Danio rerio: one gene and its partner. The protein of the gene in region 1 binds, or shares a complex with, the protein of each later gene. Links are inferred from orthologs where the notes say so. Each region holds a gene or a part of one and is shown in the gene's direction. Other genes may lie near its edges. The genes, in order: fuz and cplane2.

The links.
Region 2: the proteins of fuz (region 1) and cplane2 are in contact, whole or in part, in a cryo-EM structure (PDB 7Q3E), measured with the Mus musculus proteins. The link is inferred for Danio rerio from reciprocal best matches to the Homo sapiens genes FUZ and CPLANE2. Residues at the interface, in NP_081652.2 of Mus musculus: Arg26, Arg35, Ile109, Val110, Lys126, Glu127, Arg129, Ala130, Tyr132, Cys133, Asp136, Gln215, Ala216, Ala217, Arg218, Asp219, Tyr220, Pro221, Tyr223, Pro232, Leu238, Thr239, Leu240, Leu241, Arg242, Pro255, Leu256, Gly257, Gln258, Pro261; in NP_001074643.1 of Mus musculus: Glu36, Gly38, Leu39, Leu40, Glu41, Arg42, Val83, His84, His85, Glu86, Thr88, Gly89, Ile90, Gln91, Thr92, Thr93, Val94, Lys124, Phe125, Met128, Glu134.

The regions. Positions count from the first base shown.
Region 1 is NC_133177.1:3,682,309-3,686,631, forward strand, and holds the start of fuz (protein fuzzy homolog), read left to right. Parts: upstream 1-1,213; 5' UTR 1,214-1,294; intron 1,295-4,323. UniProt on the Homo sapiens protein: Probable planar cell polarity effector involved in cilium biogenesis. May regulate protein and membrane transport to the cilium.
Region 2 is NC_133181.1:44,001,316-44,005,651, forward strand, and holds the start of cplane2 (ciliogenesis and planar polarity effector 2), read left to right. Parts: upstream 1-1,349; 5' UTR 1,350-1,419; coding exon 1,420-1,525; intron 1,526-1,653; coding exon 1,654-1,806; exon of another isoform or gene 1,807-1,899; intron 1,900-4,336. UniProt on the Homo sapiens protein: Required for efficient primary cilia initiation, regulating a late step in cilia initiation. Plays a role in the final maturation of the mother centriole and ciliary vesicle that allows extension of the ciliary axoneme.

The DNA.
Region 1 (4,323 bases):
AAATGGTCTGCAGACAGTTCACTCAAATTTCTTAATTCTGCAATCATTTACTCATACACTTGTTCTAAACTCGTACAAATTTCTTCTGTCAAGAACAAAGGAATATACTGAAGAAATTTGGAAGCTTGGAAATTTCATGGACTGTTTTCAATTGGAGAAATGAACTCAAACTGATTTAAACCCCTTGAGTTCGAGTAAACAGTGAGTACATTTTCGGTAATGGGTGAACTATCTCTTTAAATGATCCGAAACATTACCAATAATAACATAAAGACACAAAGAATGCAACTCGGCCTGAACCATAGACCATTTTGAGAGATGTAAACAAACAATGGTCCCAATTAATGTATTTTCTGTTTTACATTTTAACTTAGCTTCTGAGAATCCAAGAGCCACATATTGGTTATGATGGCTGTTTTAACATTATAATTAAATTGCCTCTTGACCAATGACATGACCACATTGAAATGGTCTGCAGAGACAGTTCACCCAAATGTCTTAATTCTGTAATCATTTACTCAATGTCCTAGTGAAAAAAACAGCTTAAACCAGCCCAGGCTGGTTGGCTGGTTATAGCTGGTCGACCAGGCTGGTTTTAGAGGGGTTTTGGCCATTTCCAGGTTGGTTTCCAGCCATTTCCAACCTGGTCTTAGCTGGTCAGGCTGAGAGATGACCAGCTTGACCAGCCTAGCCAGGCTAGGAGCCCAGTTAAAACCAGCTATATTCAGCTTAAACCAGGCTGGTCAAGTTGGTTTTAGCTGGATTTAGCTGGTCATTTTCCAGCCTGACCAGCTAAAACCAGGCTGGAAATGGCCAAAATCCCTTTAAAACCAGCCAACCAGCCTAGGCTGGTTTAAGCTGAATTTTTCAGCAGGGTCACTTGATCTAAACTGGTTTGATTTCTTCTGTTCAGAACAAATGATTAGAAAGCTGGGATGAAAATTGCACGGACTGTGTTCAACATGACAGAAGCACAAATGGATTTGAAACCACTTGAGGTTGAGGAAACATGACTACACTTTTTATTATTGGGCGAACTATCCCTTTAATAAATTGAAACATTACCAATAATAACATAAAAAACACAAAAAAACTTGCCATAAAACCAAGAAAAATACTAACATGAATGAAGTTTTTTCTCCTTGCACACACTTGAAGTCTCCGGAAGATGGCGGAGTGGATCTTATTGTTACCCAAAAACTTTCATCGAGTTGCGAAGAAGAAGGAAGCGCTGTGGCTGTTGTTGTCAGAGATGTTGCTGTGGAGACGCTACATTTGCAACTTTATAATTCAGGTGAGACAAGACACAAATGTTTTTATTATTATGTTATTATGTTATTATTTCCTACTCAACGTATTTTAGCGAACGCTTATTAAATTTACACGATAAAATGCCTCAGTGTGGATTAGCAGATTAGTTTTGTATAACGTTTTGCATAATGAAGCATGCCAAATGTAATTCTGAATCGTGTGTTGTGTTTGCTCGTCCATTTTGCATGAAGACCAGATTTTCCCGTTTGGGTGAGGTGATTTTCTTTAAAGACTGACGTAAAGTTGGTTTTGAGCAATTCCAGCGTTATGGATGTGACATTTGCAGTAAAAACTCAACCCATAAATTGACAGAGAAAGTATATGTTAACATTTTATTGAAAAATTTGATTATATTTTCTAGAGCAACTAGCCACAAAGTTATGGGAGCAGAAAAATATCAATCTGTAAACGTGTTTTGTACTTTAAATGTGGAAAATAAGCATGCCTTATGGATGTGACAAAAAAAAGTCTGCGAGTTTACAGTATACAACACACTTTGTAGAAATTATGTGAATTAAACTGCACAACCCAAAAGAAATAATGCTAATCAAAAGGATTTGAGTCGGCTCTCTATAAAACAAAAATGATTGGTTTTATTTTATTTAATATTTTCACATTTCTGATGAAAAAGTGTTGTTATGGATGTGACATCTCTCTGTTATGGATGTGACGCATGTGAAATTACCATTTGTGTGACTTTGGTAAATCAAATAGTAATAGTTTGAAAACATTAACAGATGCTTTTTGAGTATTTTTAAAGTACTGTAAAATACTTGCCTACACAAAAAAACAGAAATGGTTTTCCGTATTTTGGTAAAAACTTAATTTTTTTTTCATGGCAAGGTTGACATTTGCACGGAATTGCTCTTTTACATTCACAAATTCGCTCAGTGACAACTTTTGACGTGCTCCTAATGTTTTCCATGGTACTTTGAATACTCGGTCTGACATAATATGCAAGTATGACTTCAAAACAACATTAGCAATATTTATTTAACTGTGAATTCACTATTGTAAGTTACTTTGTCTCTTGGTCATTGGCTGCTAATGATTTTTCAAGAGTAGTTTATAAAGTTATATTATCAAGGAGAAAGTCCAAATATGTGAATATAAATCCAACTTTGCCTTGACTTAAGTTTTAGTTAAAGGGATAGTTCACCACAGAGTTACATTTTACTCACTTTTTACCCTTCCTCAAATGGCTTTTTAAACCAGTTGATACCAGAAGTTTACATACACTGTATAAAAAGGCACTTTAGTCAGATGTCAATGTGAGTAATCTTTTTCTCTTTTCGTAAGTTAGGTTTATCATATTTGTTTCTGTTCTGCTTAATAGCAGAATTATAAGAGATATTTTTTGAGAAACTTTTTTTGAAAGTCAAGATTATATAAAATACGATTATTATGCCTCTAAAAAAGCTTAAAGGATGGTGTAAAGGTTTTTGGAGTTTCTGATTGGCTAGCTGACAACATTTGAGTTAATTGGAGGCACAACTGTAGAAACTGTAAACTTTTGACTGTCTAGAACAGGTGTGGGCAAACAGGATCCTGGAGGGCCAGTGTCCTGCATAGTTTAGCTCCAACCCTATTCAAACAGACCTCCCTGTAGAGTTCAAGTGATCTTGAAGACACTGATGAGTTTGTTCAGGTGTGTTTGACTAGTGTTGGAACAAAACTCTGCAGGGACACCGGCCCTCAAGGACCAAGTTTGCCCATCCCTGGTCTAGAAATTATAAAAAAAAATTCTTTACAAATTTTCTCTCATTATTCTGGCATTTAGCAAATGTAAATCATGTAGGTAATCCTAACGGACCTAAAATAGTAAACGTTTAGTATGATTTACCATCAGACATTGTTTTTTTAAATGGTTATGTTACTTTTTTTTTAAAGTGTAAGTAAACTTCTGGTTTCACCTGTAAATGTGAAATCATCAACAAAAACTTGAACCCCTTCTATGTTTACAAAAAAATCCGGAACGTCTTTGCCTGTGTGAACAGCGCTTTTTAGAATTTACCGGTAAAGTCGTTCTGGTAATTTTCCGGATATTTACCACTATCGCTGTGTGAAAGGGGCTAGGGACTTGCCTAATTACCCTAAGTTGCCCTTAACCTAGTTAAGCCTTTAAGCTGAATTAGAGCTGCACGATTCTGGATAAAATAAGAATCGCGATTTTTTTTGCTTAAAATAAAGATCACCATTTTCTCACGATTCTGTAGATGTAAAATAAAGGAATGGTAAAAACAGACATATGGCACAACATCGCTAATAATATTATGTGTAGGTCTACTGGTGTCTATAAATAATTCTATTCTACTTATAATAATTCTGACGTTGAATTATTATGTTTGAGATATATGCTTGCAATCTGTCATATTAGACTATTTAATTCACTGGTAAAATCAGACATTTGCCATCATCAGATTATATTCAGCAATATATAAGCTAGAGTAGTTATACTGACATTGTAAACATTTATTTTCATGCACAACTGTGTGTTCGCTATGAAAGAAAACACATCAAATGCTTGTCGTAATCATAACTCTAAAATGCGATGTGATCATTTAAATGAAGTGCACACTTTCGGTTTCATTCTGACTGCTAAGTGCTTGTTCATACTTTGCGCGCGGCTCCCAAACGATCAATCTGTGCCACAAACTGAATATTATTTACAACTGTATTACCTGTTACTCACAACATATGCAGGTTCTGTTCATTAAAGTAGACGTGCGCGTCTATCATTAAGTAGAGCGCCCTCTCTGTGATAACAGCTCACGGTCAGCAGCTCATGTCACGTGTGATTTCCAGATCGCAAAAAAACAAAAATGACATTTTTAGGTGAATTATACCTTATAAATACAGTATGTGACTCATTCAACATCATTTGGAGGTGTCAATGTCACTGAGCAACGTGTGAAACAATGAAAAGACTCGTGCAGCCGCCTTTTCTTCTCTCCTGAACTTGAAAATATGATTGACAGAATCGTAGAAATGCTGGATTAAGATCGTCTAGGG
Region 2 (4,336 bases), on another chromosome or scaffold:
TTTGGTTGAGTTCTACACTTCTACGGAGGATCTCTCTCTATCTCTCTCTTTTTTAAGTTTGTATGTCCAATTAAAGTCATTCTCTTTATGTTAGTAGGTCTGTCGAAAATGCTATGTGCCATTTTTTGGGGTCTCACTTTTGGTTTTGTATATATGATGCTGTACATTGCATTCTGAGCCATTGCTGCATGCCTGTGGGATCCACCTTCTCCAAAAGCTTTTTTGTTTTTCTTTGTCGATTAGCTGGTGGATTCATTCTTGCGTTTGCCTTATCAAAGCCAACAGTTGTAATATGCAAGAGCTGTGGCCTCTCAATAAAGATAACATGATGTACTAATACACCTGTACATTTAATTTCATGGTCTGGTTTCATCTTAGTTTGCTAGTATGTCCTTACCTATTTTAAATACCGAATAAGAAGAAAATGTAGGGTGAGAATTCCTTTTTGTCTGCTTAGAATTGATCGGATTGTGATTTATATAGAGCACAACATTTGGAGTTACTCATATTTTTATCAATAACACTTAAGCCTTTAAATACAGATGGTTTTGAGGTTGTTGTGTGTGCTTTAGTTGAACCCATCTGTTTTTATCAGTTCAAGTACTATAGTTCAAGCACTATTATTTGGATAATAGTGGAATTTAGGCCAAAAACTACATTACCCATAACATTCAACAAATTTAAATTTCTTCAGCAATCGAAGTGCACCAAAATAGATCTTTAATTCTTCCCACCCACCATGCAGCACTGCTTATTCTACAATACAAGTTTTTACAAATAATTACAAATATATTGTTTCTATTCAGTCAACAATTTTATACTAACTGGAAGTTTTATGTCGAATATTTTGTTTCATTCACAATGCTTCATAGGATTGTAGTTCTTTCCCTCAGAAAAGAAGACTATTGATTTGCATATAAGCAACTTCTTTGTTAATCAGAATTTGTAATGTCTTGACCAGGGGAAATGGGCTGGATAAAATGGCAAAGATAAAAGACATGGGAAAGAACTACATTGTGAATGACAAAGCAGAATAAAAACAAGTTGCTGGTTTTATGTATAAAAAAGTCCTTTTTGCGTTCATTTAAAATATAAACACATATTTGCCATTGAAAAAAAGAGGTGTCATCTCTAGTTGGAAAGAAAATATGAACGAATTAATTACATAATATGATAAATCCTAAAATATTCTATAATAATAAATGTCCATTTTGACTCATCTTTAACATGTTTGCTAGTTCAGCTTCAGTTCAGTTTATCAGTAGTTTTACACGATTTTAGGCGTTTAATAACGGACTTTTATTTTGACGTATTACATTTTGATGTTCAAATCAGATGGCTTCACGTTCGCGAATAGAAAGTTACTTGATATCACACAATACAGTGCACAATATCTTTCTGCACTTGTGTTAAATTAAAATGTCTGTCCCACCTGGATCCATTATCGTGTCAGACTGGCACCGCTGTCCTGATAGCAGAGAGTTTTTCAGCAAAATACTGCACAAGAAGAGACGGCGAAAGTTTGGTAAGGATGATGACCATGGATACAGCACTAATGTAACTTAATAGGCATCACTTATAGTTTGTTCGCTTTTTTGCTGTAGTCAACATAAAAATAAATTATTATTTCGGTTTTGTTAAAATAACGTGAAGGGCTCTTAGAGGCGCCAATGATGCCTCCTCAGATGAATGTGGACCTCGTTCGCTACAAGGTGTTTCTCTCAGGTAAAACTGGAGTGGGGAAGAGCGCGCTTGCTGCCCGTCTCGCTGGACTCGACCTGCCCAAAATGCACTACGAGACCACAGGTAAGCAAACCAACACAAATCAGACTCATAATCACGTTTCTTCTTATTTTTTAAATTATTGTTTTCACCTCGGACATTTGCAGGGAAATTAAGGTATTATTAATATTTATTTAGACCTATTTATGTTTTTATTGATGACACCTTTGAGGCAACGGTTGCTAAGGGGATTTTGGTTAGCTATTTTTGCCACTCCATAATAGAGAAAATACCAAATAACAGAAGCCAGAAATACTATACATTTACAAATTTATTTGTGGAACAGAATGTTAATCATATTATCCGGAAAATTAATTATGTATTAGCATATCCCTCTTTAAAAACATTCAGAATGCAGATGTAAATGCTGCTGAAGTGGAAATTTATGGCTCAGTGTAGCAGAAAAAAAATACAAATTAAGAGAACGATTTGTAAAAAGTATTTAATTTAAAGCAAACACAAACTGATCAAATCCTATGAAATAAACGCTTTCTTTTCTTTTACATTAGACTGAACAAAAATGGTGTTAAACCCCAAAATTGTGTTACTGGGATTGTGTGCAGCCATATCAAAACACTCTTAATTGTTGAACAAATAAAAAAAAATCTATGACAAACATGCTTAATAATAACATCCAGTATTTTTTCAACAATGATATTGATAACGTCAAGCTTTCAAGATATCATCCCATCCGAGAGCTAACTTTCTGCAACTCGCACATGGTTGCTCACTAATGGCTTGTTTCCACTGACTGGTACAGTACGGTACGGTTCGGGTCAGTACGGGTCACCTTATCAGGCTTGCGTTTCCACTACCAAGGGTACCCTTTTGGTGGGCGTGCTGAATGACAAAGTTTCAGTCGACGTCATTTTCGCTTGAGAAAATGTCTACAATAAAGCTTTAGGGGTCGCTCGCATATCATATGAAAAGCACTTCTCACAATGCTTTACACATAAATATTTGTGTATAAATGTTTATTACTAACTTCTCTATGAACATGAGTTGATTATAACTGCAGATCAATGACACTGCGAAATAGTCTACTGCAACGTCTGTAATTATATTAAAAAAATAAACAAATGAACATATATGAACACATACAGCCCCTTACAGTCCCCGATATGTTACCAACTACAGAAAAAGTACACACAGCATACAATTCGTCCTTAATTAGGTTCAAAACAAAACAAAGTATAGCCTACAGTCAGTGAAAACCTCTCATCTGTGTCTGTAATCTTCAGCAGCTCATGCAGCCTCTGTTAGAGAGTCATTCCATCATTCCCAGTTCGTATTAGTCCAAAAGGTGATGATAAAAAATAAAACAAGGCAGTTTGTTCACGTTGGCTAAAGAAATAACGTGTTACTTTGCTTCCCCTTTTTTTCCGCCCTCCACTCTCGCGTTTGTCCTTTTCTTTCTGAATGTGTCATTCTCAAGTTTGTCAGCTTCTCACAAGATCGGGTTTCCAAAGCTTGTCAATAATCAAGCGCACGTTATTATCATCAGCTCAAGAAGTTTGTTATTTCAGATATAGATGCGTGGCAAGCGCAAGCAAGAAAGCGAAACCGCTCATGCTACAGACTGGCTCGTAAAAAACTATGCGGCACAGGGTAGATTCTGCTCTACTCCATGGGTTTGTGGCTGTTCATCAAGACGACGACAAGGTTTGTTTAAGCCCGGATCGACCATGGCTAGTTATTATATGTATATATAAATCTCTCACTGTGTATTTCAAACATGGACTTTGTTTACATTCTGGCTTTTTGTTGCGTAAACGAATGACATAATCAGCTGCGCGCCTAGCTCCGCCTTTTGGTACCCTTTCTTGTGTTTGGGACCCTTTCGAAAAGGTGCTGAAAAAGTGGTACGGTACGGTTTGGTTAGGTATGCCTTTTGACAGTGGAAACGGCCATAAAAGCGTACCAAACCGAACCATACCGTACTGTACCACTCAGAGGAAACAGGCCTTAAAGCTAAGCAGGGCTGCACCTGGTCAGGACCTGGATGGGAAACCACATGTGAAAGCTAGGTTGCTGCTAGAAATGGTGTTAGTGAGAACAGCAGGGGGCGCTCAACCAGTGTGTGGGTCCTAATGCCCCAGTATGTTGATTGGGGCTTTATACCGCTCAGTGAGTGATGTCTTTTCAGATGAGATATTAAACCGAGGTACTGACTCCCTGTGTCCTTTGAAAAAGGGTTTTTAAAAGTTTCAAATTTGCCCACTGCCTCCTAACCATCCCCATATCATAATTGGCTTTATTACTCTGTCCCCTCTCCTCATGGTGTGTGGGAGCATTCTGGTGCATTGTAGTTGCTGTTGTGTCATTCAGGTGAATGCTGCACACTGGTGGTGGATGAGGTGATTCCCACCAAAAATGTGTAAAGCACTTTGAGTGTTCAGAAAAGCGCTATATAAATGTAAGGAATTATTATTATTAATTTACAATACGTGGTGATAAACATAATTAAACATTAGCTGTAATTAATTTCCACCCATTTTATTGGCAGTCTTGCTTCTGGAAACATTTTTTTCTGAGTATTTCTTTCATATTGTTT